Linked DNA regions of Coturnix japonica. The protein of the gene in region 3 interacts with the protein of the main gene of each other region in a pairwise test. Links are inferred from orthologs where the notes say so. Each region holds a gene or a part of one and is shown on either strand. Other genes may lie near its edges. The genes, in order: TTC19, PLEKHF2, L3MBTL3, PRKAA2, PLEKHF1 and NGB.

Evidence for each region.
Region 1: the proteins of L3MBTL3 (region 3) and TTC19 interact in binary tests that used the Homo sapiens proteins (3 or more experiments, as listed by UniProt). The two-hybrid records come from large-scale screens. The link is inferred for Coturnix japonica from reciprocal best matches to the Homo sapiens genes L3MBTL3 and TTC19.
Region 2: the proteins of L3MBTL3 (region 3) and PLEKHF2 interact in binary tests that used the Homo sapiens proteins (3 or more experiments, as listed by UniProt). The two-hybrid records come from large-scale screens. The link is inferred for Coturnix japonica from reciprocal best matches to the Homo sapiens genes L3MBTL3 and PLEKHF2.
Region 4: the proteins of L3MBTL3 (region 3) and PRKAA2 interact in binary tests that used the Homo sapiens proteins (3 or more experiments, as listed by UniProt). The two-hybrid records come from large-scale screens. The link is inferred for Coturnix japonica from reciprocal best matches to the Homo sapiens genes L3MBTL3 and PRKAA2.
Region 5: the proteins of L3MBTL3 (region 3) and PLEKHF1 interact in binary tests that used the Homo sapiens proteins (3 or more experiments, as listed by UniProt). The two-hybrid records come from large-scale screens. The link is inferred for Coturnix japonica from reciprocal best matches to the Homo sapiens genes L3MBTL3 and PLEKHF1.
Region 6: the proteins of L3MBTL3 (region 3) and NGB interact in binary tests that used the Homo sapiens proteins (3 or more experiments, as listed by UniProt). The two-hybrid records come from large-scale screens. The link is inferred for Coturnix japonica from reciprocal best matches to the Homo sapiens genes L3MBTL3 and NGB.

The regions. Positions count from the first base shown.
Region 1 is NC_029534.1:5,220,358-5,225,176, forward strand, and holds the start of TTC19 (tetratricopeptide repeat protein 19, mitochondrial), read left to right. Parts: upstream 1-1,645; 5' UTR 1,646-1,670; coding exon 1,671-1,854; exon of another isoform or gene 1,855-1,913; coding exon 1,914-1,990; exon of another isoform or gene 1,991-2,035; intron 2,036-2,146; coding exon 2,147-2,257; intron 2,258-2,330; coding exon 2,331-2,369; intron 2,370-2,772; coding exon 2,773-2,829; intron 2,830-3,096; coding exon 3,097-3,158; intron 3,159-3,687; coding exon 3,688-3,782; intron 3,783-3,962; coding exon 3,963-4,117; intron 4,118-4,416; coding exon 4,417-4,579; intron 4,580-4,819. Other genes in the region: ZSWIM7 (zinc finger SWIM domain-containing protein 7), read right to left, coding at 978-1,053. UniProt on the Homo sapiens protein: Required for the preservation of the structural and functional integrity of mitochondrial respiratory complex III by allowing the physiological turnover of the Rieske protein UQCRFS1.
Region 2 is NC_029517.1:114,520,286-114,525,042, reverse strand, and holds the start of PLEKHF2 (pleckstrin homology domain-containing family F member 2), read right to left. Parts: upstream 2,962-4,757; 5' UTR 2,830-2,961; intron 2,637-2,829; exon of another isoform or gene 2,506-2,636; intron 1-2,505. UniProt on the Homo sapiens protein: May play a role in early endosome fusion upstream of RAB5, hence regulating receptor trafficking and fluid-phase transport. Enhances cellular sensitivity to TNF-induced apoptosis.
Region 3 is NC_029518.1:52,550,237-52,555,069, forward strand, and holds the start of L3MBTL3 (lethal(3)malignant brain tumor-like protein 3), read right to left. Parts: upstream 3,227-4,833; 5' UTR 3,097-3,226; intron 1,767-3,096; exon of another isoform or gene 1,645-1,766; intron 1,331-1,644; exon of another isoform or gene 1,235-1,330; intron 129-1,234; exon of another isoform or gene 38-128; intron 1-37. UniProt on the Homo sapiens protein: Is a negative regulator of Notch target genes expression, required for RBPJ-mediated transcriptional repression. It recruits KDM1A to Notch-responsive elements and promotes KDM1A-mediated H3K4me demethylation.
Region 4 is NC_029523.1:23,050,538-23,054,755, reverse strand, and holds part of PRKAA2 (5'-AMP-activated protein kinase catalytic subunit alpha-2), read right to left. Parts: intron 3,367-4,218; coding exon 2,865-3,366; intron 1,246-2,864; coding exon 1,119-1,245; intron 844-1,118; coding exon 605-843; 3' UTR 1-604. UniProt on the Homo sapiens protein: Catalytic subunit of AMP-activated protein kinase (AMPK), an energy sensor protein kinase that plays a key role in regulating cellular energy metabolism.
Region 5 is NC_029526.1:7,110,543-7,114,041, reverse strand, and holds the end of PLEKHF1 (pleckstrin homology domain-containing family F member 1), read right to left. Parts: intron 3,193-3,499; 5' UTR 3,181-3,192; coding exon 2,359-3,180; 3' UTR 870-2,358; downstream 1-869. UniProt on the Homo sapiens protein: May induce apoptosis through the lysosomal-mitochondrial pathway. Translocates to the lysosome initiating the permeabilization of lysosomal membrane (LMP) and resulting in the release of CTSD and CTSL to the cytoplasm.
Region 6 is NC_029520.1:35,498,490-35,503,414, forward strand, and holds the start of NGB (neuroglobin), read right to left. Parts: upstream 3,100-4,925; 5' UTR 2,990-3,099; coding exon 2,886-2,989; intron 2,630-2,885; coding exon 2,518-2,629; intron 1,641-2,517; coding exon 1,521-1,640; intron 854-1,520; coding exon 707-853; 3' UTR 684-706; exon of another isoform or gene 1-683. UniProt on the Homo sapiens protein: Monomeric globin with a bis-histidyl six-coordinate heme-iron atom through which it can bind dioxygen, carbon monoxide and nitric oxide.

The DNA.
Region 1 (4,819 bases), on a different chromosome or scaffold from region 3:
GGGCCCTATAAACTGCTTTAGAAAGTCACAAGTACATTTGGGATCTACTCTAACCTGATAGGAGCCATACAAGTACAATAAAGAGCAACTGAGGTGACCACTCTGTTTTCATACCAAGTCTTTGTCCTTTCTGCACTCCAAAGCAGTACACAGCCAGGCTTCCCTGAATGTTGATTTGGTTGGTTTTAGCACAGCTAAATCACTCCTCACACAGACACTTTCCTTAGGAAGAACCATTTTGCACTTTTACCCAGCAACAAAGATCAATCTTCTTCCAGCAGACATTACAGAACTGATTCAGTAATCCAGAACACAAGGAAGGGAACAGTTCTTAACTGGCTGCTAGAATAGACCAAGGTGTTGGCTTGTGCCTTCTTTGTGCAACATGAAAGCTGCTCTTTGCCAGGCGATGGCCCATATTGTACCCTCTACTGGTCTGATGAAACACCATCATTTTTAGGAAGATTTCCCTTTCAGTTCTGACTTTGACTCCATAAAAAGGAGCACTGTGGTAGGAATGACAAAAAAAAACAAACCATGGGAGGATGGAAATGATCATCTATCACACTACAAGCTCTGGGCAAGCAGAATTTCCCATGGTGGAAAACATCCAACTGAGTGTTATTTTTTAAAGGGGTGCTGCTCCTCATTATCTCTACTTCAGAGCCCTTTGTGTTGGTTCCAGGGTGGGACACAAAAGCTGGGAACACCCCATATGTGACAGCAATGGCCACTGCTGTGTGACAGAGAACAAAGGACACAGATAGGGCAGAGCACCAACACTGCAACATGGGGCCCTGGGCAACCTGGTTTAGTAAATGTGTATGTTTGGTGGACCTGCTAGGCAGGGGGTTGGAACTACATGATCCTTGAGGTCCCTTCCAACCCGGGTCATTCTATGATCCTGTGCTATGGCAGGTCTGACAGCACCCAGACTGCCCATCAGTGCTGGGATGGCTGTGCTGCTCTTTACGTACCGTGGGAGGTCTCCTGAAAAGCCTTCCTGATCTCTTTCAGAAGCTCTTGTGCCACCGCTGGCAAGGTGCTGTCCATGTCACAGGCACTGCCCTCGGGACTGGAAGTGAGACAGAAGAGATCAGGGAGGTGCTGGGAAACCACTGAGGTCAGGGCAGATGTTGTAAGTCAGGAATGTGACCGAGCAGCGCTTCATCTCAGCCTGACACGAGGCCAAGGAAAGGGCATCCCCAGCAGAACCCTGAGCTGTGCTCTGTGCATGTTCTCAGCACAAAGGGCTCCTCGAGGTGACAGAGGCCTTTCGGACGGGCCTCACGCATAAACACACTCCGTGGGAGGGAAGAAGGATAACGGATAGGGAGAGGCCCACGCCTGGGGCAGCCCGGCGCGGGGCCAAGCCATTCCAGGCAGAGGCGGCCTGGAGCAGTCCCGGCTGCCCCCGGGGAGCACGGGGTTGTCTGAGGGGAAGCGGGCAGATGGCGGATCCCAGGAGCCGCGCTATGGCCGCCGCAACGGAGCCATGCGGGGCGGCCTGGCCTGGTCTGGGCCTGCTTTAGGCCTGGGCCTGGTCTGGGCCTGGTTTAGGCCTACCTGCGGCCTCGTTGCCATAGGAACAAGAGCGCCCCGCTCCGGCTACGCAGCACCCCTAGTCACGTGATGAGCGCGCGCTCTTAAAGGGCCCGCTCCCATTAACGATGCTGGCCGCCGCTGTGCCGCGGGCGCTGTCCCGTTTAACCCGGCGCTGCCCCGCGGGGATCGCGCGACCCCGGCCCGCCTGGCACGGAGAGACCCGACGGCAGCGGGGCGGCAGCGGGACGGGGTCTGCCGGGCGGCGGTGGGTTCAACAGGGCGCCGGGCTCACGCTGGGATTCCTCGGAGGTGAGGCCAGGCGGGATGCGGGCGGGCCGGGCCGGGCGGCGGTCACCTCCGGCCCGCAGCTTTCTCCTTGTCTCCCAGGGACGACGAGCAGGACGGCGGGGAGGACGCCATTATTGTCCTGCTGAAGAAAGCCAAGGTGAGGCGCTGAGAGGGACGGAAATGGAGGCCAAGCGGTGTCTTCTTTTCTCCCGCCGGGTGGGCCCGGAGCCCTGCAGGGAAGGGCCGGGTAAAAAGGGTTCCGGCCGCTCTGTGCCCGCACCGTGACCGCTCTGTGCCCGCTCTGTGCCCGCAGCTCAGCGTCATGAAGGGCGAACTGAGTGAGGCCGAGCGGCTGCTGCACCGAGCGCTGCACCTGGCGCACCAGGCCGACAACAGGAGAGCCATCATCTACACGTACAGCACGGTAACGAGACGGGTTGGAGAGCGGTGGGAGCCCAGAAGCAATGCCGAGCTCCAGCGCTGTGTGTCTTTTCCAGATGGCAAACGTGGCCTTCATGCAGGGACAGCTGGACAACGTGAGTAGGGATGGCAGCTGTTGGTTTTGCTTCTGGAGGGGCTGACATGATATTGAGCCTCGGGGCTGCGGTATTGCAGAGCTGCTGAGTACAAAGCTGGGTGTTGAGCTCCAACATCCACCAGGATTCTTTCTTACTATTGAATGCCACAATCCTTGGCCGCAGGAGAACCTAGGGAAGTATTAAAGAGCCCCAGATGTGATAAGATTGTGGGCGTCCTGCAGTAAGAACCTCAGCAGCTGGCAGTAGCTCCGGGCTCTGGTTGGCCTTTCACTTCTCACCACTCTTGCTAATAACTGTGGCAGTACAGATGGCCAGAGTTTGAGGCAGGTTTCTCACAGCAGTAGAGATGGTTTATCATCATCATCATCCTCCAATGTCCTCTTCAACATTCTCATTTCAGGCAGAAAAGCTCTACAAAGCAACGATGAGCTACTTGCTTGCAGGAGACACGAAGGAGGTGGGTTCTTTTGGTGAAGGTTTTCAACCAGGAGTATGAAGTGAGGTGCTCAATCCCTCGCTCTGTTTGTTGTGATGCTCTGCCTCCTACCGGTCCCTGGCAGCACTAGCTGTGAGCCTGCCAGCTTTAAAGGGATTTCTTTAGTGGAAAACTGCTCTGGAAACAACAGGATGAGCACATTGAAAGTCTAAACTTGTTCTCTGGCAAAGTAATGGATCTACGGGGAAGATGCAAAAGGAGTAACAGTTGCGTTGTGTGTCCTGGCAGGATGACAATGCAATCCTTGAGATGTCCCTCAAGCTGGCCAGTATCTATGCTGCTCAGAAACAGTGAGTTCTCTGCTAAAGGCATGTTTTGCTTTAATCTCAGCTACACGGTGGTAATGGTGGCCAAGCAGAGGCTCGTGCCTCTAAGAACAGAGTGTCTGTGGAAGCTTTGATGTGATAAGATCCCATCAGTGTATGAAAGTTCTCACTGGCATGAGGTTGCATCGTGCAGCACAGTGATTGCTATAAGGACCCGCCCAGCTTAGGGCAGGAGTAGCTGTAGAGGCCACACTAAACAAGACATGCTTTTGAATGCAGTTGGTGTTTGGTAATTTGTAGTTTCTTTTCTTCACAAAAGAGAGCATTGATGTGGGCAGCCTCTGTTGGCCTTATTATTTTATTTCTTTTTGATGGGGCTCCTTCCTCCCTCTTGGTTCCCTTTGCACATGGGTCAGAAGGGCATAGAACATAATCGAGGAGCAAGCATTGAAGGCAAGAATGGTCTGGTGGAAGAGTAAGGGATAAGGAAGGTATTCACATCCATCCCTCTAGGGATGGAAGAAGCCTTGCACTGCTGACTTGTACATTGCAGGCATAAATTAGCCCTGGCTGGCTTTGAGTTCTGCATCCTGACCTTAGAGGAGAAGATCGCCAAGCAAAAGGACTTGCCTGAGGATGTCTTGTCAGGTGAGAGTACCTCATCTGCCAAAGGCTTCTTTCTTGTTTGTTTTCCGTTTCTCTGTCCTTGCTTAAGCACCACCTTTATGCCAGTCCCTTGTCTTCATACTGCTTGGTTTTCCAGCTCTCACAGGATGTGAACTCATGTTTCATATTGCTGTGTTCATTTCCACTCCCTTCTATTTGCAGCTGAAGAAAAAGCCAACACTCGTCTCTTGCTGGGGATGAGCCTGGACTCCTACGCTCGCTATTTGCAAGACATCAACCAGCTCCCAGTGGCCCAGAAAATGTATGAGAAGGCTCTGCAGATATCAAGTGACGTTCAGGGAGAGACTCATCCACAGGTAATGTGTACAATGGGAGTTAGACTAGTAAGTAAAGAAAGGCATAACAGTTATGAGGGATCAAACAGGGGAAGGCAGTAGCCTTAAGAGCAGTTTTGCTGGCATTGAATGTAGACAGTACTGTTTTCCTGACAGTAACAGTGAGCATTTATCATGTTAATATACAGGTAAGGCACTTCCTTACTAAAAGCTCCACTATGAAACACTTTCATTAGTGTAATATATGAGTGGGGTGCTGCTGTTGGCTCAAAGTTCTACTCGAGTTCTGCTCTGAGGATTCCTTTTCTGTCCTGCTGCAGACTGTGGTCCTCATGAATGACTTGGCAACTGTATTGGATGCTCAAGGACACTATGATGAGGCATACTCTCGTGTGAAGAGGGCAGCTGAACTGGCAAAGGTGACACAACACCCTGAGGAACACATGGTGCTGAATAACCTGGCAGCAATTCTGATGCACAAAAGTAAGTAAATGAATGTCCAGCCAGTGTCTGTCAATTTTGTGCATTCCTGTTTTTAGCTTAATTAGTGGGCCTGCTGACTTGGGGTAGGCAACCCGTGTTGCATTCAAACCAGTCAGCTGCTGAAAGGTCTGGTCCAAGGTGAACCAGAATGTCACCCAGAGGGCCCTTGTTTGCCTTGTCCTGTACGCACAGTAGCTGTTTGAAAAAGGACAGTTTCAGTGAGACTTTGGTGCTGAAGCA
Region 2 (4,757 bases), on a different chromosome or scaffold from region 3:
CAGTGAGAGCAGAGAGATGCTTTTTTGCTGTCCCAGCTGCTCTGCCAGCTTCCATTATCACAGAATGGTTCGTGTGGATTCTACACACCTCCTTCCCTTACAGCTTGGCGTTCAATACAATCAACTTCAGCAAGGAAGAAACACTGATTTGGATGTTAGGAGGAAATTCTTCACTAGGAGAGTGGTTAGGCCCTGGAACAGGCTGCCCAGGGAGGTTGTGGATGCCCCGTCCTTGGAGGTGTTCAAGGCCAGGTTGGACGGGGCCCTGGGCAACCTGATCTAGTAAAGGTGTATGTTTGGTGGCCCTGCCAGGCAGGGGGGTTGGAACTACATGATCCTTGAGGTCCCTTCCAACCCGGGTCATTCTGTGATTCTGTGAAGAGGAGCAGCATCATTAGCACAAAACATAACCCACCACCCAGTTACAGCAGCTTCAAGTGTCGCCAAACCCACTCCACAAGCCTCTCTTCAAAATCAGCTTGTTTCAGTGGTAAGCATCAATCACTGCCTTTGGAGGCGCACGCGGAGGCACTTCCACACGTCACACGTCAATGTTATACGCTATATAGAAGTGCTTACTTAAGAAAAAAGTTACCGCACGCTTCAGGCCATAAACCAGTTCCAGGGAGGCAGGCTGCCTGTCAGTCGAAGCAGAACAGAGGATTCAGTCCTCTCACATAAGCAGTTCCTGAAAGAATCCCTTAATCATAACAACTTAACTACAAGGCCTTCTTGGGAAACACACTCAGCAGCCTCTGACAGCTTGTCAAATGCACTCGATGCACTTCCGAGTTCTGTGGAAAGCATGTAGAGCACTGGAGCACCCATTACAATGCCATCCCTTGTACAGGAGGGGTGGCAGCCCACTGCCCTGCTGAGCACCAGGACACATTGCATCACAGCCCCACAGAGCTCATTGCTTGCATGGTGCCACGTTATGTGCCAGGAACAGGGCTGGGGCAAGCGTTACTGTGTTTGAAAGCCTGAAAGTTCAACTGTTTGCCCTTCTTTTCCACTTAGACAAAAAGCCTAAATGCTCCTATGTTGAATATGTAACATTCTGAACACTGTATTGCTGTAAAATGCCAACACGCAAAGGGGGGTAAAAAAAAACAAAACAAAACAAACAGCACCACTTGAAAATAGATTTCAAAACCCTTAAATTATTCATTGTTGCAACAGAAGCAGGAGGAAAGTATCATTACACCCATGGTAGCAACATTCCTACCTATTTATGTAACATCGAGGAGCCAAAGCAAACATATCAGTGCATTTTTGACTGTGTAAAATATCAGGCTGTAAAAACATCATGAAAAATAGTGCTCTGTTCAGTAACACTTGCACACAACGATGCTTCCTTTTGGAAAAGGAGAATCTTCGTCCAGCAGCTCTCAGTCAAACGACTCTTTCTGCACGCAGACCCATTCACTGCAACAGCACTACTGACGTGGGTAGGAATTTGCAGGACTCTACTTGCTAACGCAGTTGTCATCAGGGCTTATAGTTTATGCCAACGCCAAGATAATGGCTTGGTGGAAGTATGTTTTACCACACCCACCTACAAAGCAGCTTTCATTCCCCTTTCAAACGTAATAAGTCCTCCACTAAATCACGAACACAAAGTTGTACAACAGCAAACCCTGTATTTCATAGAATCACAGAATAACCTGGGTTGAAAAGGACAGTGATCATATAGTTTCACCCCCCTGCTATGTGCAGGGTTGCCAACAACCAGGCCAGGCTGCCCAGAGCCACAGAGTATTTGCTGCACAAAGTTTTAAATACTTTGAACAAAACTCAGCTGCTCCAGCCTGTATTCAGCTACACAGGGATTTCTCACTGGATTAGTCAACGTTATTTACACAACACAATTCAAAGGGGGGGTAAAAAGCTCCTTCGGTGCTGAAGATCCCCGTCCTCCCCTCACGCTGATGGCTGCAGTCCGTGGGGTCTCCGCACTGACATTAAGCCTTTAAGCGCTTCCCTACTTTCAAAGAGCCTCAACCAATCCAAAACACACCACAGAACCGAAAGCTGAGCGCTGAAGTTCTCCTTATTCCGGGAAAGAAAGAGGAATCGACAATCTCAGCTCTGAAATCCGCCCCGGTTGCAGGCTTTGGTTTCAGGCCCGCCCCAGCCGCTGGCCCGGCCGCAACCCGTGCCGGCACAGCTCGGAGCTCGGCGGTACGGAACCAGCCTCCCGAAGCCGGGCCGTCCCGAGGGCTGCTGCCTCACTGACAACTGTGGCACTCAGCCGGCACACACCGCCCTGCCACCGCTGCACAGCCAGCTCCAGCTCAGGAGCCGAGCGTGCCCGCCTGCCCGGGCAGCACACATCCATCGCAGCTCCCCTAAGAAACGCACGTCCAACCGACGCGCTGACAGACGCAGCTCCGCAATTCCACCTCCTTCCTGCTGCTGCTTTTTAACTATTTCTCAATTTGGGGCCCAACTCACGCACCCCTGGAGCCCACGAGCACCGGGTGGAGGTCTCCACACACTTACGTAACGCCCGATACTGGCAGCTGCGGGGCTTTTCCCCCCGTTAAAGCCCAACTCCTTTCGGACGGGACAAACAAGCTCCCGCCGCCGCCCCTTCGCTTCCCGTCAGCCGCCCGCAGCGCCCTCCCGCCGAGCAGCGGCAGCTCCCGGCCCCGCGCCGCCCCTCCGCCCGCGGGGCAGCCCCCGGCTCCCAACATGGCCGCGGCGGAGCGCCCGGAGCCCCAGAGAGGGAAACGCTCCGTCAGGAAAGTTTCAGCCTCTGCCTCCCGCCCACGCTCCGGCGGCAGAACCCCAAGCGGGAAGACACCGGTTCCGCGCTGCCCTCACCGCGCTGCTCAGCCGGCCCCGCCCGACGCTCCACGCTCCAACTGCCGCCCCGACCCCGCCGCGCTCTCCCCGCTCGGCCGCGGTCATGCACCCGCCGGGGCCGGGCTCCGGGACACCGCCCGCACGGGGCGGGACCGCCGCCATCTTGGGCGGAGCCAGGCGGGCGGGAAGCGCTGAGGGGTGAGAAGGAGGCAGTGGGGTGGGGGATGTCGGCGTGTGCAGTGGGGGTAAGGGAGGCTGTGGATGCCCCGTCCTTGGAGGTGTTCAAGGCCAGGTTGGACGGGGCCCTGGGCAACCTGATCTAGTAAATGTGTATGTTTGGTGGCCCTGCCAGGCAGGGGGTTGGAACTACATGATCCCCTTCCAACCCGGGTCATTCTGTGATTCAGGGGGCTCGAAAACATCACCCCGCTGTGGGAACTTGTTGGAAAGAGCCTTTCCATTCTTTGAGTCAGCGGTCTGTCGCTTCAAGCGCCGTTTCCTTGAGTTGAACGCTAAGGATTGTCGTGCTCTTTTTTATCAATCTCTGTGTCTACGCTTTGTAGCACACAGAAGGCAGTCGCTGACTTGTTGGAGTTTGAATAGCTGCCAGTCAGTCAGCTCGGAAAAACGCACCCCGGCCTGACAGTACGAACTGTACCCGAAACACCACAGAACTCATAAATACAGCGAGGCAGTAACAGCTCCAACACGGGACTCGGGGCCTGCTGTGACACCGCTCCACTGCAATGACCGCATCGAAAACCAGCCTCAGGCTCTGCTGAAGGAAACTCTCACTGGCAGGAAACACTGCGGGTTTGGCTTTCCCCATTTCACACTGCAACCAACTGTTGGGCAATGAGGCAGGGTGACCGTTTTTCCCCATTTTCTAAGGGGAAAAAAAAAGCCAGTGAAGCAGTGGGGCTTTCCTGTGGTAGCAACTATTTCCTAATTTCAATTGAATTTGTCGTAAAACTTGGGAGTTTTCACTGTTATCACTTCCTCACCTCATTCATTTTGATATAGTCAACAAAATAGAAGGGAAAATAACAATTTTGTAAGAGTCCCATAATGCCCCAACCAGATCTGCCCATTCTTGGATCTTAGGAGCTTAAGGGGTCTTGTTTGGCACCCATTAACTTCACACCCTGTACCCAGCAATGACTGCTAGTGGAGACTGAGGAAAACCATGTAAAAATAGAACATTTTCCTACTAATCTCATGAACTGAGCTTCTAAGGAGTCTTTTATTATTATTATTATTTCTTATTTTCTTTCTTTATTGAGGTGTGGGCCTCAGTGTTACAGAGGCTGCCGTTAATACACTCCTCTAAGAGATACCAACTGCTAACAATCCACACAGGACCACAGGGATGGGAAGGGACCTCTGGAGCTCATCTAGTCCAACCTCCTGCTAAGGCAGGTTCCCTACAGCAGGTCACACAGAGAGGCATCCAGGCTGGTTCTGAATATATCTAGAGAAGGAGACTCCATAACTCCTCACCCTCATTTATCTAATTCTTCTAATTCCTTTTTTTCACCTTCAGAACAACAGGCAAATGTAATTATTCTTTTAAAGTTCATTATTTGATGATTGAAGGAGTCAATTCAAAATAAAATATGTATTATCTATAATTTTGCTCCCATCTACTTCTGTTCATTCTATAGGAGCCAGCAATGTTTGTACGCTGAAAATTGCCACTCTGCTCGCTAACCTTTGATCAATACTTCATGGCAAGCTCACTACAGCCAATTAATGGGCTGGAGAGAGCCAGGGATGAAGCACGGAAACCTGCGTTAATCATTGCTGAACACCTTGATCCTCTGGGGATTCAGGTCAGCAGGCATTCTAACTTCAGTCAGGTCAAGGTGGGATTAGAATTATGCTCTTGCCATTAAAGAAAAAGAAAAACAAGTTCATCATAAAATAACCACAGGAAATACCTGAGT
Region 3 (4,833 bases):
AGAAATTAATAAGAACCATACACTGCAACAAACAAACCCAAAGTTCGCTACAGTTGCCCGGCTGACAACAAACGCCCTCCAATGAGAGCGCTGCGGCAGCCGCCGTCACCGGCGCGCTGCGTCCATTGGGACCGGCGGAGCGGCGGGGTCCCGCGGCGAGGGCGGCCCGGGCGGCACCGCACCGGCACCGGCACCGCTCGTGCGGATGTTCACCGGAGCTGCCGGGAACAGCTGAACTTCTGTGGGCAGGAACCGCTTTCCCGAAGGGGCTTCACGCCGCAGCAGGAACGTTCTGCTCTGATTGTGAACGCGAGCCGTTCCGAAAGCGGCGTGAAGTCGAGCGTTCGCGTCTCGAGTTGTATTTACACTTTCCACCTGATTGTTAGCGCTCGCTGCGGGCAGGAACAAAAAAGCCGAGCGCTCAGCCCGGCGCCTCTCGGAAACGAACGGAACAATGAGAAGGCGGCTCTCGCTCCGTGTCAGCTCACGGATCGCGCAGCCCGTCCCGCTGCCCGCGGGTCACCGCACGGATCCGCGCGTCACGGCCTTCCCCAACGCATCCCGCGGGGCCGCGTTTCCAGGAAGCGTTACTCAGCGCCTCCGAGCGCCGCGAACAACGGGGCGGCCGACGGCGGTGCGTGGGGCCGGCCCGGGCCGCTCCGAGCCCGCACCCCGCCGCGCTCGGCCTGGAGCCGCGCCGCCGGAGCGCAGCGACGCGGGGCCCGCCGGGCGCGGCCGCCGGCTGCCCGCGGCCTACCGCCAGAGGTCCCTCCTTGGCCAGTTTTGCGGCGTGTTTTGCCGCACTCGAAACTTTCTGGCGGAGAAAAACCCGGAGTGCTCGGGTCCGCGTTTCGCCGGGGCTCGGGCAGGAGCGACGAGACAAAGCGGCCGCCCGCTCCGACGGTCGCGAGCCGGCAGCGCTGGAGCGGAGGGAGCGCGCTTCTCCCGCCGCTCCCCGCCGTTTTCTCTCTCCCCCCTCCTTCCCCCCGGCCCGGAGCGACGGGAGCGCGCGGCAAGAGACGGACCCCCGGCCGGCGCGGGGGCGAGCGCGGTGCGAGCGAGGGTGGGAGAGGAACTGGGTGCCGAGGGTTCCTGAGGAAGTTGCACAACCGGAGAGGGACTCCGCTTGTTTACCGGGTCCTTCCCCACCCCCCCTCACTCCCGCCCCCCCCTCCCCCCGAGACGGGGATCCGGGAAAGGGCGGCCGGCTCCGCGTGGAAGGGGAAAATTTTACCTTCTCCTCCCTCCTCCCCTCCCCCAGCGAGGAGGAGGAAGAGGAGGAGGAGGGGGCGCGCTCTCTTTCCCGAGGGGGCTGCGGGATTCGCTCCTCGGCCGCTCGCAGCCAATCTGGACGCGCTGATCGCCCGACGGAGGGGTGCCCCTGCCCGCGGAGGGCAGCGCCGCGTCGCCCCCCACCCGCAGCAGCCCGGCCCCGCGCTCCAACTTTTTCTCTCACGCTCTCGCGTGCGGCCGCTCCGACGAAGCGGCCACAAAATGGGGGCGGCTCCCGGCCCCCACCCCGGCTCCCCCCGGCCTCGCGCTCCGGGCGGCCGCTCCCACCCAAAATAATAATCGCGATAATAATAATAATAATAATAATAAAAATCCCTCCCCCCAGTCGCGAAAACGCCGCCTCACACGCACGTTAGCGAGAACAAGTGTGCCTATATCCTGTTGTTAATGCACCGGCTGCGGAGACGGAGCGGCGGGGGGAGACGGGGCCGCACCCCCGGCGGCGCTCGGGCCGAGAGCGCGCAACTCGGGGCGAAGCCGCTCGCCGCCCGCCCGTCCCTCCCGTCCGGGCGCACACACGTGCGCGGCAGCGCGGGGCCGTCCCGCGGGACCCCCGGCGCCGCCCGCGGGTGCCAGCCGCCGGCCCGCAGCGGGCAGGGGCCGCCCCGCGCTCGCCCCCCGCCTGCCGCAGCGGCCCCGGGAGCGCGCACCGCACGGCAGCGGCGGGAGCGGAACGCTGGAGCCGAAGACTTTTTTTTTCCTCCTCTTAAAAAAAAATAAAAAATCGCAAGAAGCTTTTTTTTTTTTTTTTTTTCGGGTGTGTGTGTGTGTGTGTGTGTGTGTGTGTGCAAACTTTCCCCAAAATGGCGGAAATTGGGAGATGATTATATTTTAAATATCTCTCGCGCACAGGCACACAAAGTGCGGGAGCGACGGGCACGCCAAACTCTCCGCTGCGCGCTGAGCGCGGCCTTCGCGCACGGGAACCCGCGGCACATTCAACCGGTCCATCCCGGCCGCCGCCTGCCGCTTCCGACCGAAAAAACGGGGCTCTCGCACCGCCCCCACCCCCATCCCGCGCCCGCGCCTCGCCCCCCCGCGCCCGCACCTCGCCCCGTCTTCGGCGTGCGCGAACAAAGAGCCGGGCCGGGGGGGGAGCGCGGCGCAGGATCCCCCCCCGCCGCCCGCCCTCCGACGCGCAGCCCCGCGCGCCCTCCCCCCCCCCCGGCCCCATCGCGTTTGTCCCCGCGGTGCCCCGCGAGCGGCGTTAAATGGAGCCGAGCGGCGGCTCGGCGGTGGGGCAAGTCCGCAAAATGTCTCTCCCCTTCCCTTCCCCCTCCTCGCGGAGCCCCTTCCCCCCCTAAAAAAGGCCCCCCCGGCGCGTTTCGGCGGCTCCCTCCCCCATACGGAGCTCTATGCACATGCACATACGTGCGTGCCCGTGGCTGCGCCGAGATACGCGGCACGGCTCGATGCGCGTACTCCCGTCATGTGTTTGGGGAGAGAAAAAGAAATAGCAGGCACCTCTCTCTCTCTTTCTTTTGTTCCTCTTTCTCACTCACACACTTGGGGCGCTGGGAGGCACCCCCTGCCCCGGCCGCTCCCCCGCCACTTGCGAGTCACTTGCCCACTTTCCCCGGCGCGAACTTCCATCCCCGCCGCGCGGGTGGGGGGGAGAAGCCCCCTCCCTTCCCCGGCGGCGTTTCGTAAGGGAGGGCGAGGAGGTGCGCCTCTGCCTTTCTCTCGCTCTCCAACTTTCATCCTCACCTACGGCCGAACCCGACCCCGCCGCCGGCCTTCGGCCGCCGACGCCGTTCCCCGGCCGCGGCCGGCGGCTCCGGCTCGCGACCCGCCGCTCCTTACCACCCCAAATTCTCTCTCTCTCTTTTTCTCCGGCTCTCGAGTAGGTCCTGACAAATATGGTCCAGGGCTGCGGGCACAAGTGAGCATGCGCCCGCCGAGCCAGGGCTGGGGAAAGGGGAAACTGCCGCCGCCGCCGCCGCCGCTCGTTCTTCCTCCCTCGCCCGCGCTGCCGCTGCGCCGGAGCCGCACTCGCGGCGGTGGCAGCGCGGGCGAGGGTGGAAGAGCGAGCGGCGGCGGCTGAAGTCGGCGGCGGCGGAGCGCACGGCGCCCTGCGAGGTGCGGCATCCCCGGTTGCATGCCGACGCCGGAGGAATAATAAGGAGGCTTGCGCGGCAGCGCGCTGCTATTTTTGGGCTTTTGGAAAATAACGCGCTAAACCTTTTTTTCCCTTTTTCTTGTCTTCTCGCCGTCTTTTCCCCCGTCCTTTCGCCAAAAGGCGTGACGGGTCGCTGCCTGCCGTCCGAGCGCAGAGCCGAGCCGCTCGCCTCGGGATGTCACACGGGACCCGGCGGGGGGTGTGCGGCCATTCACACTCCTGCGCTCTGCTACGGCGCTGGGCCTCAGCCCGCTGCAGCTGGTCTGCAAATGGAAAGTAGTTTCACCTGTGCCACCTGCCCTCCATCACCCCCTGCGCTCACAATAGGAGATATTTTCTGTCCCTTGCCATTGTTTAGAAAATGCTACGAACGGAAGGCCCGTGGGTGTTTTTTTGTTTGTTTATGGGGTCGGACAGGGTGGGCTTCCTTCACCTAGAAGGAGGGCTGCAAAGCAACATTAAACTGAATAGAGCTACGCGAGGCCTAACTAACGGGTGAGAGGGAGGGAGGGGGATTGCAATCTGTTGTATATATGACACTTGAAAACATTTAGATACATAGATAGGTATAAGTATAGATAGATGTAGATATGGACAGATAAATAGATGAGAGAAAGAGGGAGAGACAGAGAGACAGAAAGTTTCAGGCAAAGTGTAAACCAACATGGAATGCAGTCATTATACTTACCAGAAATGTTTTATTCAGACCACGTGATATCTGTAAGATGGCCATATTCTGAAGGCGAGGATTGGCAAAGTGAATTAAACATTTTTAGTAGTTTGGCATGTTGTTACGTCTCTTTTAAAATAGCCCTCAGCCTCTGATTTATCCCAGTAATTATCAAGTCCAGACTTTCCCTTGAATTTACATATGCTTCCTTCTACAGTTACAGAGACAACTGTGGCCCAAGTTATTAAAACAGGAATAATGATAACCAGGAATAAATAATAGGATTAATTATCAACAGAAATAAATACATGACAAAAAAATGCTTACCTACAAAGTCAGAATAACCAAAATGTGGCTTATACCAAACCAAATAAACCTTTTCTTTGCTATTATGAGTATACACTATTTATGATGGGTATATACTGTGTGCATCCCAGCAACTGGGGCAGCCTTGCACTGGACAAAGGATAGAAGTGCCCTTCTCTGGCAGGAAGAATTGGCTTCCATTCACTGATGTACTTACATAAGAACATACATTGAAATATTTATGAATCAAATCTATGTCCATGCTTGTAACTTAGGTGTGACTTAGACTTCTACCATGCTATCCTGAGAGCTTCTATTTACTGAAAATGGTAACACTGAAATCACGTGTGTTCGCAGGATGGTGCCTGTGTGCGGCACATAGTATTATTCTATGTTTAACATCTCTCATGCCCATTCAGCTCAAATGGCATTGCGCATAGCATGC
Region 4 (4,218 bases), on a different chromosome or scaffold from region 3:
CATGACGCAGAGAGCCAGATCTGGGGGACTCAGCAGCATCCTGCCCCATGTCTGCAATGGGAGCTTTTCACATGCCACCCCTCACCTTCTTTAGTAAGGGAAAAAGAACAGAGGGTGGGATGTTACATGCAGCAGCTGCTTGATTTAGGGTGAAAGCATTGCCAGAGGTTCAGCCCTTTCCTCCCCCTGCTTCGGGCTGTATGGGAGGTACAACCTGAACCAATTTGTGTTGTGAAAAGAAATGCTTGCCCATGGCTCTGTAAATTCAGGATCAACCAGGAGGGAGTTCTCTACCAAAAGTCAATGATGTGTTTGCTACTTTACAGCCCTGCCCACGTATCCCATTGGGTTCAGGATAAAAAAGCTCACATATATTTCACTCTGGTCTAACGAGTGAAACGAAGTAATTCCTGATTTCCTCAATGCCTTGTTTGAGGGGCTGTATCCTTTGAGTGCACTTGGGATCTTTCAGCAGAGGAACTGGTTCTGCGCTGCAGGCTGTGGAGTGGTGAGGAGAAGGAAGGAAGCAGAAGAACAACAGAACAGCCATGTTGGAGCTGGTCCTCACAGTGCAATGCCATGTGCTGGGAGTTCGGTGCCTGGCTCAGCGAGCCAGAGCCATGATCAGGCTGGCACACATCTCGAAGAAGTCCATGGTGTGGCTGCCCAGGCGTGGGGGGACTGAGGAGATGCTGCCCACGAAGGAGCCACTCAGGGACCCCATCAGTGACTGGCACTCAGTGGCTGCTGCAGCATCAATGCTCAGTCTTGGCCGGTGCAAGCCAGCAGCTGAGCACGAGCGCTGTGGGGTGGATGAGCCAGACCTCTGCTCCATCACCTCATCTTCAAGGCAATAGAAAAAGCAAGAAATAATTATAACAGCATTAGTTTGGTATCCCTTTACTAAGGAACTGCTAACAGTAGTGGAGACAAATGGATCAGAAGGGATTTAGGAGTCGGACTCAATGATCCATGTGGGTTCCTTCCAACTTGGGATATTCTATGATTACGAATCTAAGTGACTTGAAACAGCATCACATGCTACAAAAGCATTCAGGAACTGAAGAAATATTATTTTTCCTCAAAACTTCCAAGCTTGCTGTTTCATTACTGCTTACCATCAATGCTTTTGAAGTCCAGGAGGTAGCTGCGGTTGTCCACCTGGTACAGCTGCAGACTCATTTTCACATAGTTGCCTGTCACTGGGTTCTTCCGACGCACTCTGAGGTGGTAGGAGTTCACCACCTGCAATGGGCAACCAGCTTTAGGGAATACCATTCAAGGCAAGAAGAACAACATTGCTTTCCTTTTATTTTAAAGACTAGCAAGACACCTTTTGACAGAGAAAGAAAAAACACAGTTTTTAAAAAGAACAATTCTTTAAAAATTAAGCAAATGGCTTCCTCTCCTATTTCCTCTTACAGTTGTGTTTGGAGAACAATTCTTGGGGCTCTGATTCACCAGCCCTGCTGGCAGATGAAGCTGTTGCAGCCTCTCCTTCAGGCACCAAACCAACACTGTTGTTCCCTCAATGGCAGTAATGGCCAAAAGAGCCAGAAACGACTCCCAGGCCCATATAACAGGACCGTGCTTGGGAAAGCCAGGCAGGATGGATGGTGGGGAATCATAGCCTCTCCCATCAGCACAACTAAACAAAGTGTTCGTCAATCAGTCTTGAGCTGTGCTACACTTTTTCTCTCACCACTTCCCACCCCACAATCTGCTGCATCTCATTCGCAATGAGATCTTTTCTCTGTGCTATATTTATGAAACGGTGGCACTGATGCCAAAGCTAAGAGTCACGCCTGAAGTTATTCTTAGGATGTGAAAGATTGCTGTGAAACCTCCTCGTATAAAATAAGCTCCTACATAAAGGCACTTGGTTGAATCAGTCTGTGAAGTCATACCAGAAATACGTTAGGTTTGTTAGCTCTCTGTAAAACCATTCAGCCAACAAATGTCTGGCTCTTGTAGGCACGTGTATCTGGAGACAGTCCATCTCTTCGATGGTGCCATGAAATCAGGTTCTGGGTGCTACTTATCTTTAAATACATAACAAGGAGGACATACGAGGTTTCAAAGATGCACAGGCACAAAGTTTGGGCATTAACCAAGGGCTGAAGACATCCACACAGCAAAAACACTCTGGACGTGGAGTAAGGAGGATATTGACTCCAGTGATGAATATCTGAGCAGAAATTCTCCTTTTCTTGATCCTGATGCTTGCACAAGGCTGCTGTGAAAGGCCAGGAGAGCTCATACCTATGACTGCACTTAGTTTTAGAGAAGAGCTGAGACAGCTTTACCTGTGACAGTAATTGGTGAGTGATCTCCCTGTCCTTATCTCGGTCCATGAGGTTTTCTCATCGAATTTTCTCCCTAGTTCTTTTGATGATGGAGACTGAGAGAGCAGCAAGGTAGAGCTTAGCTGCCCACCGGTGTGAAGCCACCACATAAGTAGAAACAAGGAGACATGTATCGTGCCATTTCAGGACATGCAACTACTATGACCCAAGCAGAAATAAAGGGAGATGCTTTTCTTGGGAGCACTCGAGTTGACCTCGCAGGGAATTAGCCACTAAAATTAGAAATGTGACCAGCTCCTCTTATCCCTGCAGCTAAACAAGACAGAATTATCTTTCCAGACAGAGGCTTAGGGCATTCAGGGGAAAAAAAAAAAACAACAAAAAAACCACTCTTATTCATGCCACAAATAAATGGCACAAATACGGAACATCTTGTGGGCATTTGTTTGGAAACAGCTGAGGCTGCGACCATATATAGATTGACCTCGCCAATCAACTCAAGTTACAATAATAATAATAAAAAAAACATTTTAAACCTCCCCAAAGCACATTTCCTACCTTCCACTCAAAATCCAACTGCTTCATAGCTCTGTACACCTCGGCCATAATGTCATAGGGTTTGCTCTGGCTGCGGATCCCCAGGTGCCACTTGGCCTTTTTGACAGTCAGAGGTTTGGGCTTAGTGGTGTTGAGTGCATCCAAAGGGCAGCGTGCCTTGGGGCTGTCTGCTATCAAGGGTGGCATCCGCTCGGGGTGAGGCTTCACACCAGGAGGGATGTGCATGGAGTCATCCATAAAGGAGCCAGTTGGGGGACTGGAGGCCAGGTAGAATTCACTGGCTTGGTTCATGATCCTCCGGTTGTCGATGACAAGGTGGTAGGCAACCGCTAGTTGGTCCTGGGGGTCGCCGCTGTACAGACTGTTCATCACTTCTGACTCAGTGCACTCAAACTTCTCGCAGACCTCCCGAACTGCGTCATCATCAATGACAGTGGCATCGTAGGAAGGGTCCTCTGGGAAGAGGTAGCTGGGCAGCTCCTCCTTAAACCACTCGTGTTCCCTTGGGAAAGGCAGAGAGGGGCCAACATCAGCCACACCACTTCATAGAGGAATCATGGAATATCCTTTGTGGAGCTGTAGCCACCACAAGGCCTTCCCTCAGCCTTCTCTGCTCTGAGCTGAACAAACTACAGGGCCTCAGACACTCTGCATACACCTTTCCCCCCAGACCCTTCACCATCTTTGCAGCCTTCCTTTGGATGCTTTCTAATATCCCTATGTCCTTCTTATATTTCAAAGCTAGCCAGGCCCACTACTCCCACCAGTTCACAATGAAGTCAATGGTAATTAAGCAGGTAAATGCCAGTGCAAGCCTCAGCTATAGGTGCCACCTATCAATGGTAATCTTGGCATGCATGCTGTTGCTCTAACATACAATTAAATCTCCTACTCTTCAGGACTCGTGAAGTTTAAAAGGCATTTATAGTTCAGATCCTATTTGAATGGTTAAATTCAGGCCATCAATTGCAAAAGTATTAACAATCCATTATGTCCTGTAAGTACTTGTGATGTTTATGCATATGCTTAGCACACCAGCTACATGTAATCACAGAACCATAGAAGTTGGAAGGGAGCTCTGGAGATGATCCAGCCCAACCCTCTGCTAAAGCATGTTATAGTAATGGCTACTATAAATTCCACAAAATACATATGGGACTCCACTTTCACAAGATAAATATTTAAAAAATTACTCAGTTTGTGAAACATTCAAAGCCCTGTTGCCAGTTACAAACATGTCACGATATCTGAAGGCACAAATGCCTACTTAAGTGCCCAATTGTTCCCTTTCATGGGTAGTACAGCCATTGACTACAGAAGAAATGCCTCATTTAAGGACATTTGCTGACATTTT
Region 5 (3,499 bases), on a different chromosome or scaffold from region 3:
AGAGCGGACAATACTGGTGGCAAGTGGACTGCTGGCCTAGATGACCTTTGAAGTCTCTTCCCACTTTAATGATTCTGTGATTATTAGAGGTGTGACTGTCCATTATCCAATTTATCCATTAGTGGATAAAAACAGTTCATAGATCTCTTGGGAACTGATAATAGTAAGACCTTTGGATACAGAAGAAAAGCTGATCTCTAAGAGGACTGAGGAATAGGTTCAAAACTGGGATATATTTCTGAAGCCAATTGCTGGGAAGAGAACTGAGAGTTTTGCCCATGGAGTACAGAACTGGAACTTAAGTTATGCACACTGATTCAACAACTGTGCTATTTTTGGCTTGTGAACTGTTCTAAGGGCTGTTTATTTTTAAGGTCATTTTCTGTTTGCATAGCATATACACCCTTCTGGTGGGTGGGAGGCATTATAAAAACAATCACTGCTGCTGAGAATTATGAACTAAACTTGAAGAGGGATAGCAAAAAAAACAGAACTTGGTGTACTTACTACTTTAAAAAACATCTGTTTAGGTCAGAAGGTTTGTTGACCCACTCCAAGCTGTGGCCACACCGGAAAAATCCCATTCCAATTAATATGGACTACCACAGGGAATTGCAAAAGAATTGGGAAAACTCGGACAGATGACAAAAGGGTATAAACAGAAAGGAAGAATCAGGTTTGACAGTACTCACCTTCTCACTCACAATACTCACTCAGAAATACTCACCTTCTGGTAGTAAATACAAGACCAGAACGTTCATCTCATGGCTGGAGAGTTGCTGGATTTCAGGCTGGTTGGCCATGCCTGAATCACAGCATCTGTCTCAATTATTTAAGGCTTGTGTAAAACAACAACACACTTCACTGACATATTTTTCTGGCTTCTTCCTAGTGGCCATATCTTTATTCCCACACAGTCAAGTAATACAAATTGATTGGACAGTGGCAGTTTACAAAAGAAAGAAAGAATAATTATTCTGAGATTAAATTTAAGAAAAATCTAAATCTGACCACATGGCATCCAATGCCATAATTAGACCAGACACTGGTAAGGAAATGCTTTATAATGATGAGGGTGTATTCTCAGCCACATTCCTTTCCCAGGAAATAAAATACACCATACAAAAATATACTAAAATTATTAACTGAGTTTGTGGAAACGTCTGCTGCAATATAATTGCTGTTGTCTAATTTCCAGCATATTTACTCCAGCGCTACATTATGATAGAAATAAACTGTTTGTTCTAATATTTGAACTTATTTTGGACTTTAAAGTTCATCTCAAATTAATTTCATTGGGCTCCAATCCTGAAGATGCATTAAGGACCTTAATTTTGAACTTGTGCGACTGATAGAAGTGAGTGAGCACAAGAGTGTTCAATTCCTTGATGTCTTTTTCAGGAAGGGAGTGAGAATCAAAATGCTGAACCTCTGTGATTTTAAGAATTCTAGAAAAATACCCCAAATTAAGACTTGCTAAAAGTCTTCCCCGGGCGACTCTTTTACCTGATAGGCTTGAGGTCATCATCTCTCTAGCAACCTGGTGAAAATGCCTGGTTTTGAAATCTGGGGCTCTGCGCATCAGTTGAGTCAATTGCAGTAAAGCTTTTCCTTCTCTCCTTTGTATAAATGTACCTGTCTCTCTTCCCATCCACCCCCACTACCTTGCTGATATCACAGATATCTGATATGATGATTTCTTTCCATATAAGAGCCCCAGCCCTTTGATAAGCCTCATATGCATTCACAGTGCCATTCCCTTAGTGTTTCCAAAGTTCAGAATTCCTGGTGTAGAAGTCAAAGTCCGTACCTATCTCACCACACACCGAGGAGAGACAGGTTTGCACAGCTGCAATGACAATCTCTGAAGTAGATGTAATACTTGTGAAAAGAGCCAGCCCTAGAAGTTCTCTGCAGAGAGAATGCCTCACGGGAAGGAAAAGCACCAGTTTTCTGCAGTGCCCATCTGAAAGCCCTGTCACCTCTGAAGGAGGAATTCAGCACGAGCAGACAAACATATTTCAGCCAAAGATTGCCAGCTCCTTTTTCTCCCAAGAGTATTATTTCTCCTTTTTTGCAGACAGGAAGACTAAGGCACAGATGGGTGAACTCACTTGGATCAAGACTGATCTCTAGTCCGTGCTTTTCTCTAAGCTGTGACTCTCTGCTTGCATATATGAGACATTCTCAGAATGACTCACAGCAGTCCCTGACCTTTGCTTTCCTCACAGACAGCACAAACAGGGGCCAATATCCACCTTCCCAAGCATGGCCTCCACAGGACACACTGAGAAGGACACGCATTGGAGGCCAGAAATTGGCTACCCAATATTTAAACACCACCGGTTCTCAAGGAGGTCAGCTATGGAAAGATGACCAAGATACTTCTGAGTTATAAAACTCTGTGTCTGCTGGCCACTGGTCAACTTTGTAATCATCAGACTTGTCACTGTCATCACCACTGGAGGGTTCGTAGCCTGGGATGTTGCCACGGTACTGCTCCGGCTGCTGACCGTCAGCCTCCTCTTCCTTCTTCTGTTCCGCCAGCAGCTGCCTGTAGCACAGGTTGCAGACCCTCAGGGGCTTGGGGGACAGCCTGGGCATCAAAAACCTCTGCCTGGAGCAGTCTCCGCACACCACAAAGCCACACTTGCGGCAGTGGTGCCTTCGAGTGAGCGTGGAGAACTTGGTCTGCGTGCAGCGCATGCAGATGTCTGTCGCCTTGTCAGGGATCCAGGGGGCCGCGTGCTCTGTGGAGGGCTGCCTGCCCGTCTTTGTCAGCAGGTGCCTGATGCACTCCTCCAGATGGCTGATCCACTCCTTCCGCTCCGTCAGGGAGGCTGCAGAAACCACAAAGGATTTCTTGGAGGTTTTGATCATCCAGCGGTTCTTCATCTGCAAGGTGTCCGGCAGCGTCTCCAAAGTGACATCTTCAAGGGGAATGATGTGCTGGGAATTGTACTTCCTTTTGTTAATCACTATGCTCCCGTACACGAGGATGTCGTTGAACAGGAAGAATATGCGAGGCTTTGGTTTCTTGCGGCATTCTTTGGTTAAAATCCCTTCTCCCAAAAGGACTCTTCCTGGCACAGCTAAGGGTTGTCCAGAAGCCCCAAAGCAGTGTTCCACAGCAGCAATGCGCTGGCTGTTGATCTCAGTGTTTGCGAGGTGATCCACCATCTCCAGCTCACCCTGAAGAGAAGAAAATAAAGAAGTGGTGAAGCTGCACTTACAGCAGACTGCCAGGACAAGGCTGATCAGCAAGCCTGCGTGCAAATCAGAAGCTTCTCATGTCAGTGGAGGTTAAGAATAATCTCTTTTACACTCTTCACATTAGTTTATGACCTTTTAGAATTGTTTTTCAAAGTTTCTGACCCCACTTTGCAACAACCTGGTCCATATTGGGGTGTTTCCATCCACAGCAATGGAAGCTCTAATACAGAGCCCTCTTTTCCATCACAACAATGTTTTTTACCAGTATAACTGCATTCCCATACTA
Region 6 (4,925 bases), on a different chromosome or scaffold from region 3:
TCATTTCTAGAAGCTGTTGCCATGACATGATTGCAACCTTCACTGTTATTTTAAGACATCATTTCTTGTATTTGCCTTATTCTTCTTAATACAAAACATCAAATAAGCACTGCTGCTGGTGCACTTCAGCCAGCTCTCTCAATAAAATTGACTGGCCAAGTCAACAGGAACCCTTCTGGGCAGCAGCCTATATCACTGAAAGCAGCCTTACCTTGGCATTAATGCCATCTCCCACCACTGGAAATGCTCCCAGGGAACACACTACACTGCAACCAGCCTCACACAGGAAAAGGCTCTCAACAGGGCAGAGGAGCACAAGATCACTGCCCAGGGTGATGCCAGGTAAGTAGCAGAGCAGGATGAGAGCTCGCTGTGGGGCTTGAGAGGTCATCACCAGTGGTCATCTTATGGGGATGGGCAGCAAAAGGAGGGCAGGGAGCCAGTAGAAGGCCAAAGCACAGCTACAGATGCTGGCCCACAGGAACCTGACACTGGGTGGTGGTGCTGTGCTGGACACTCTGGGCTACAGGGAAATACCCTGTGGCCACCAGGAACAGCAGGGACATGGCGGTGTCAAAGCAAGGTGAGATCACAAAGAGAACCTGGCACATGTGGCTGGAGGAGGTGGGCTGGTGTGCAGAGACAGAATGAGGTGGAGAGAGGCAGAGAGGACTAGAGCTCACCCTGTGCAGGGTCAGGTCTGGGGCTAGTCTCCCTCTGGGAGGACCTCCCAGCCACCCTGCATGGCTTTCACCACTGCACTGTAGAGTTTGATCCAGGCCTCCTTCACATCCGGGCTGAAGGCAGCACCCAGGCACTTCTCCAGCATGTACAGCAAAGACTCGCCAACTGTCTGCAATCCAAACAGGGAATAGTCAACTCAGTGCTGGGGGACAACAGGCAGACTCCTTCCCTCATTCCTGCACCACTTGGGGTGAGAGACAGCAGCACACCAAGCCATCACCCTCTCCAGATGGGAAATCATAGAATCACAGAATCATTAAGGTTAGAAAAGACCACTAAGATCACCTAGTCCAGACATCAATACCAACATAACCCTAAGCGTGACACCTACATGCTTCTTGAACACTGCCAGGGACAGTGACTCCACCACTGCCCACCTGCAGTGGGCCCAATTCCAGTGCCCAACCAATTGTGCCTCCCCTGGCACAATATGAGGCCAGTCCCTCTTATCCTATCACTGTAACCTGGCAGATGAGGTTGACCTCTGCCTTGCCACAACTCCCATTTCAGGGAGCTGTAGAGAGCAATAAGAGCCTCCTCTTCCACAGACCAAACAGCCTCAGAAACACTTTGCTCCCCTCTGCCCTCACCCTCCAGGCAGGAAACAAGGGGAGCACAGGGGTTTCCCTGACCAAGCCAACATCACCAGCAGCTCAGGGCTGTGCTGAGCCATCAGCCTTCTCCCCAGCCAGCTGCACCCAGTACCGGGCATGGGAGGATTGGGACCATCAAGGGTTGCACAAACAGCCATAGTGGGATGGGAGAATACACCTCACCGAGAAGGACTCAACCTTCACACCGACTGCCTGATGCTTCTTGCCGAGGTTGCAGAGATATTCTTCCAGGCAGGACAAGTCCTCCAGGTGGCTGACAGCTGCATCAATCACCAGCATCACCTGGGGGAGCACAGCAGCTGCACTGCATTAGTACAAAGCCAGCACCTCTGCTCCACCCTGCCCAGCCCAGCAGCCACCACCACTTCCCAGCACACGAGCTTCAAGCAGTGCTGTTAGCCTCCCATCCTGGAGGAGAGAGTGGAACCTCTGGAAGTTGCCAGGATGGTGCAACAGTGTAGGAACCAATTCTAAGGTAGGCCAAAGTATTTTGATGGGGGAGGGGGAGATAGCCCAGCCAGGAGATGTGGTCTGGCAATGCACAAATGGCAATGGGCTCCCAGAGGGATGAAGAGTCACGTGGAAGCAAGACAGAGTTAATGAAGGATGAAGGGAGCAGACAGAGCAAGTTAGGAGAGATTAAAGCCAAGGCACAGTTAGCCCAGCAAAGGCAAGAGGTGATAGAATTGTACTCTGTAATTTCAAGAGGGAAATTATCTCCAATTAGAGCAAAGAGCGTTTTCAGCTTAAGGCAGTAAGAGCAGAAATAAAGATGGACATTGCTTGTCCAATAATCAGTGGCAGGGAAACAGCAGAAAGCCTGCAGCAATCAGAGGAAATGAGCCTCTCACAAGGAACGAGGCCAGGCTAGCAGGCGTTCCACTGCTTTAAAGATGGAGGCTATAAAGGCTGGTTTGAAGATGGAGGTTATGGGGTTACGAAGGCAGCAGAGGTTGCGCTCTGACCCAGCAGGGCTGCTCCTCCGGGCTCACCAAAGGGCTGTGCCGAGTTGTTCCCAATTCTTCCTGTGCGTGAGCTCCTGCGAGGCAGCCTCAGTACCGCTTTCTCCCCATCCCGGGGGCATAACAGCCTTCCCGTGCACTGCCCCCAACACCCTGCAGTCCCGAACCCACCCGCGGACCGCCCCGACCCCTCTCACCTTCCGGATGTGATCCAGGAACTCGGGAGCGGCCAGGCACTCCTGGGGGCTGGCGAACCGCTTGCAGTTGTACTGGAAAAGGGGCAACAGGTCAGGGTCCAGATCGAACAACCTGCAACGGCGGGAGAGAGGCCTCATCTTCTCTCTTCGTCGGCTCCATCCGGAGTCCCGCTCACCCGCCGTGCCGCGTCACAGCCCGTAGAGGGAAGACGTTGAGATGCGCTCGGCAGAGTTCGGCGCGGCTCCGCGAGCTCCTGCCCGGCCGCAACGCGGGGCACCGCGCGGGGCAGCCCCGCAGCGCTCGCCATCCCGGGGCTCCGCTGAACGCCCCGGGTGCGGAGCCGCGCTGCTCACCGACCCCCGCTCACCTGGAGAAGAGGACGACGCCGTTCTGCACAGGGCTGCAGCTCACCCGCCGCCAGCTCTCCCGGATCAGCGCCTGCTGCGTGCGAGACAGCATCCCGCTTTCCATGGCGGGGCGGGGAAGAGCCCTCCCGGGGAACCTGCCCCTGTCCCCGCCGCCCAAGGTCCGCTCCGCACGCAGCGGGGTCGGCAACGAAGCGAAGCCCGAAACGGAGTGGAGCCGCCCGCCCTCCGCCCCCCGCACCCCCCCGGCCGGGCGGTACCGCGCCGAGCTGCCCCTCGGCTACCGCTGTCCCCGTGGGCAGATGCCTGCCCAGCGCCGCTAAGAGTCTCCGTCATTTCAGGGTAATTAACTGCTGAACACAGTGAAGGTGTTGGTACGCGTAGCGGAAAGCAGCCTTGTCAGCCACGTTCAGGACTCCCAACTTCTCTTTGGAGAAGACAAAGATCTTCTCCGGGAAGACCTGAGAGCAGCCTATCAGCAGCTAAAGGGGGATATAAGAAAGAGGGGGACAGACTGTTCAGCAGGGTCTGTGGTGATAGGACAAGGGGAAATGGTTTCAAACTAAAAGGGGACATTTAGTTTGGGTATAAGGAAAAAGTTTTTTACAGTAATGGTAGAGAAGGATACAGAACAGGTTGCCCAAAGATGTCATTGCTGCTGCATCTCTGGAGACGGTCAAGGAGAGGCTGGATGAGACTCTGAGCAAACTGGTCAGCTGTAGGTATCCCTGTTCAATGCAGAGTTGTGCTAGATGGCCTTTTAGAATCTCCTCCAACTCAAATGTTTCCATGATGCAATGAACGTCTCTTTACTTCTCAGATAAAGGTGAACAGTGTGTTTAATTTAGCACAAGTTAGCAAAAAGGAAACTTATAAGAGTATAAGCAAGCAAGGGCTCAAGGAGAATGGCAGAACCCAGGAAAGCAGAGCAGCCCCATGGACAGGAGTTGCAGAAGGATGCAAGCACCACAGAAGCACCAGTGTCACTGTCACACCTTGCTCTGCTCTGGAATAACTGTGCCAATCTCATCCCATACCCTACTGCTGATTTCTTCTAATAGGTAGTGCAGATAGAGGTCTGAACCCCAACCCAGATGCACCTTGACTCACTGTGAGTAGATTGGAGACTTTCTGCTTCAGAACATCACCATCCATCCTTGGCAGGAGGTGCAGCACCTTGCCTCAGCTCAGCTGCAACCCCCAGGGCTCTTTCTATCCATGAGGCTGCCTACCAGTGTGGCCACAGGAGGCAGCTCTGGCAGCACCCAAACCCCTGCCCTGCTCACATGGGCTCCTGGAGCCCTGCAGCCTTGAGGATGCAGTGCTGGGAATGGAAAGCTCTACTCTGGATCCATACTCTTGAGTCCAGCAAACTCACAAGGGAACTGAACTTCTTGAGGAGGCTCCAGCTCTCTGGCTGAGGAGCCAGAAGAAAGGACCTCAATTCTGCTTCGAAGGTCACTGCTGGTATAGCAATTAGGCAGGCCAATACAATGGCAAAAGCATTGCAACAGTGGTGTGATGATGGAAGGACCAGCACAACAGAAAGGTGCTATACAGGAAGAGAAGAAGATTCCTCACCTGTATCAGAAGATTCCAGGTTCACAGAGGAAAACTACACCAAGGAAGGATTTCCAGAAAAAGATCCTTCCCCAATGAGGATCAGCCCTGAAATGCAGTCTAGGAGAGGTGCAGCCAGGCTCCACCCCTTCTACACAGCTGAATTGCCTTCACCTGTGCTCCCAGGGCTGACTGGGTCCTTTCCCCAGGTGTTCAATCAGTGGTTCAGGCCAGGACTCAGCAGTTCCCACACAGAAGGGAAGCACCAAAGGCAGCCTGATGGAGTTGAGGGATGAGCCAATGAGTGTGAGCGAGAAAGGCACAGGGAGTACAAGGCAGGAGATGAGCATGGTGAAATAGGGAGACAGCACGGGGCTGCTGCATCAGGTTTGGCTGGGACATAGGACACCTTTCCCTGGGTCCATGAAGGCTCTGTACAGCTCACACCCCAGGGTGATAGTTCCTAGTGGAAGGGATATCTC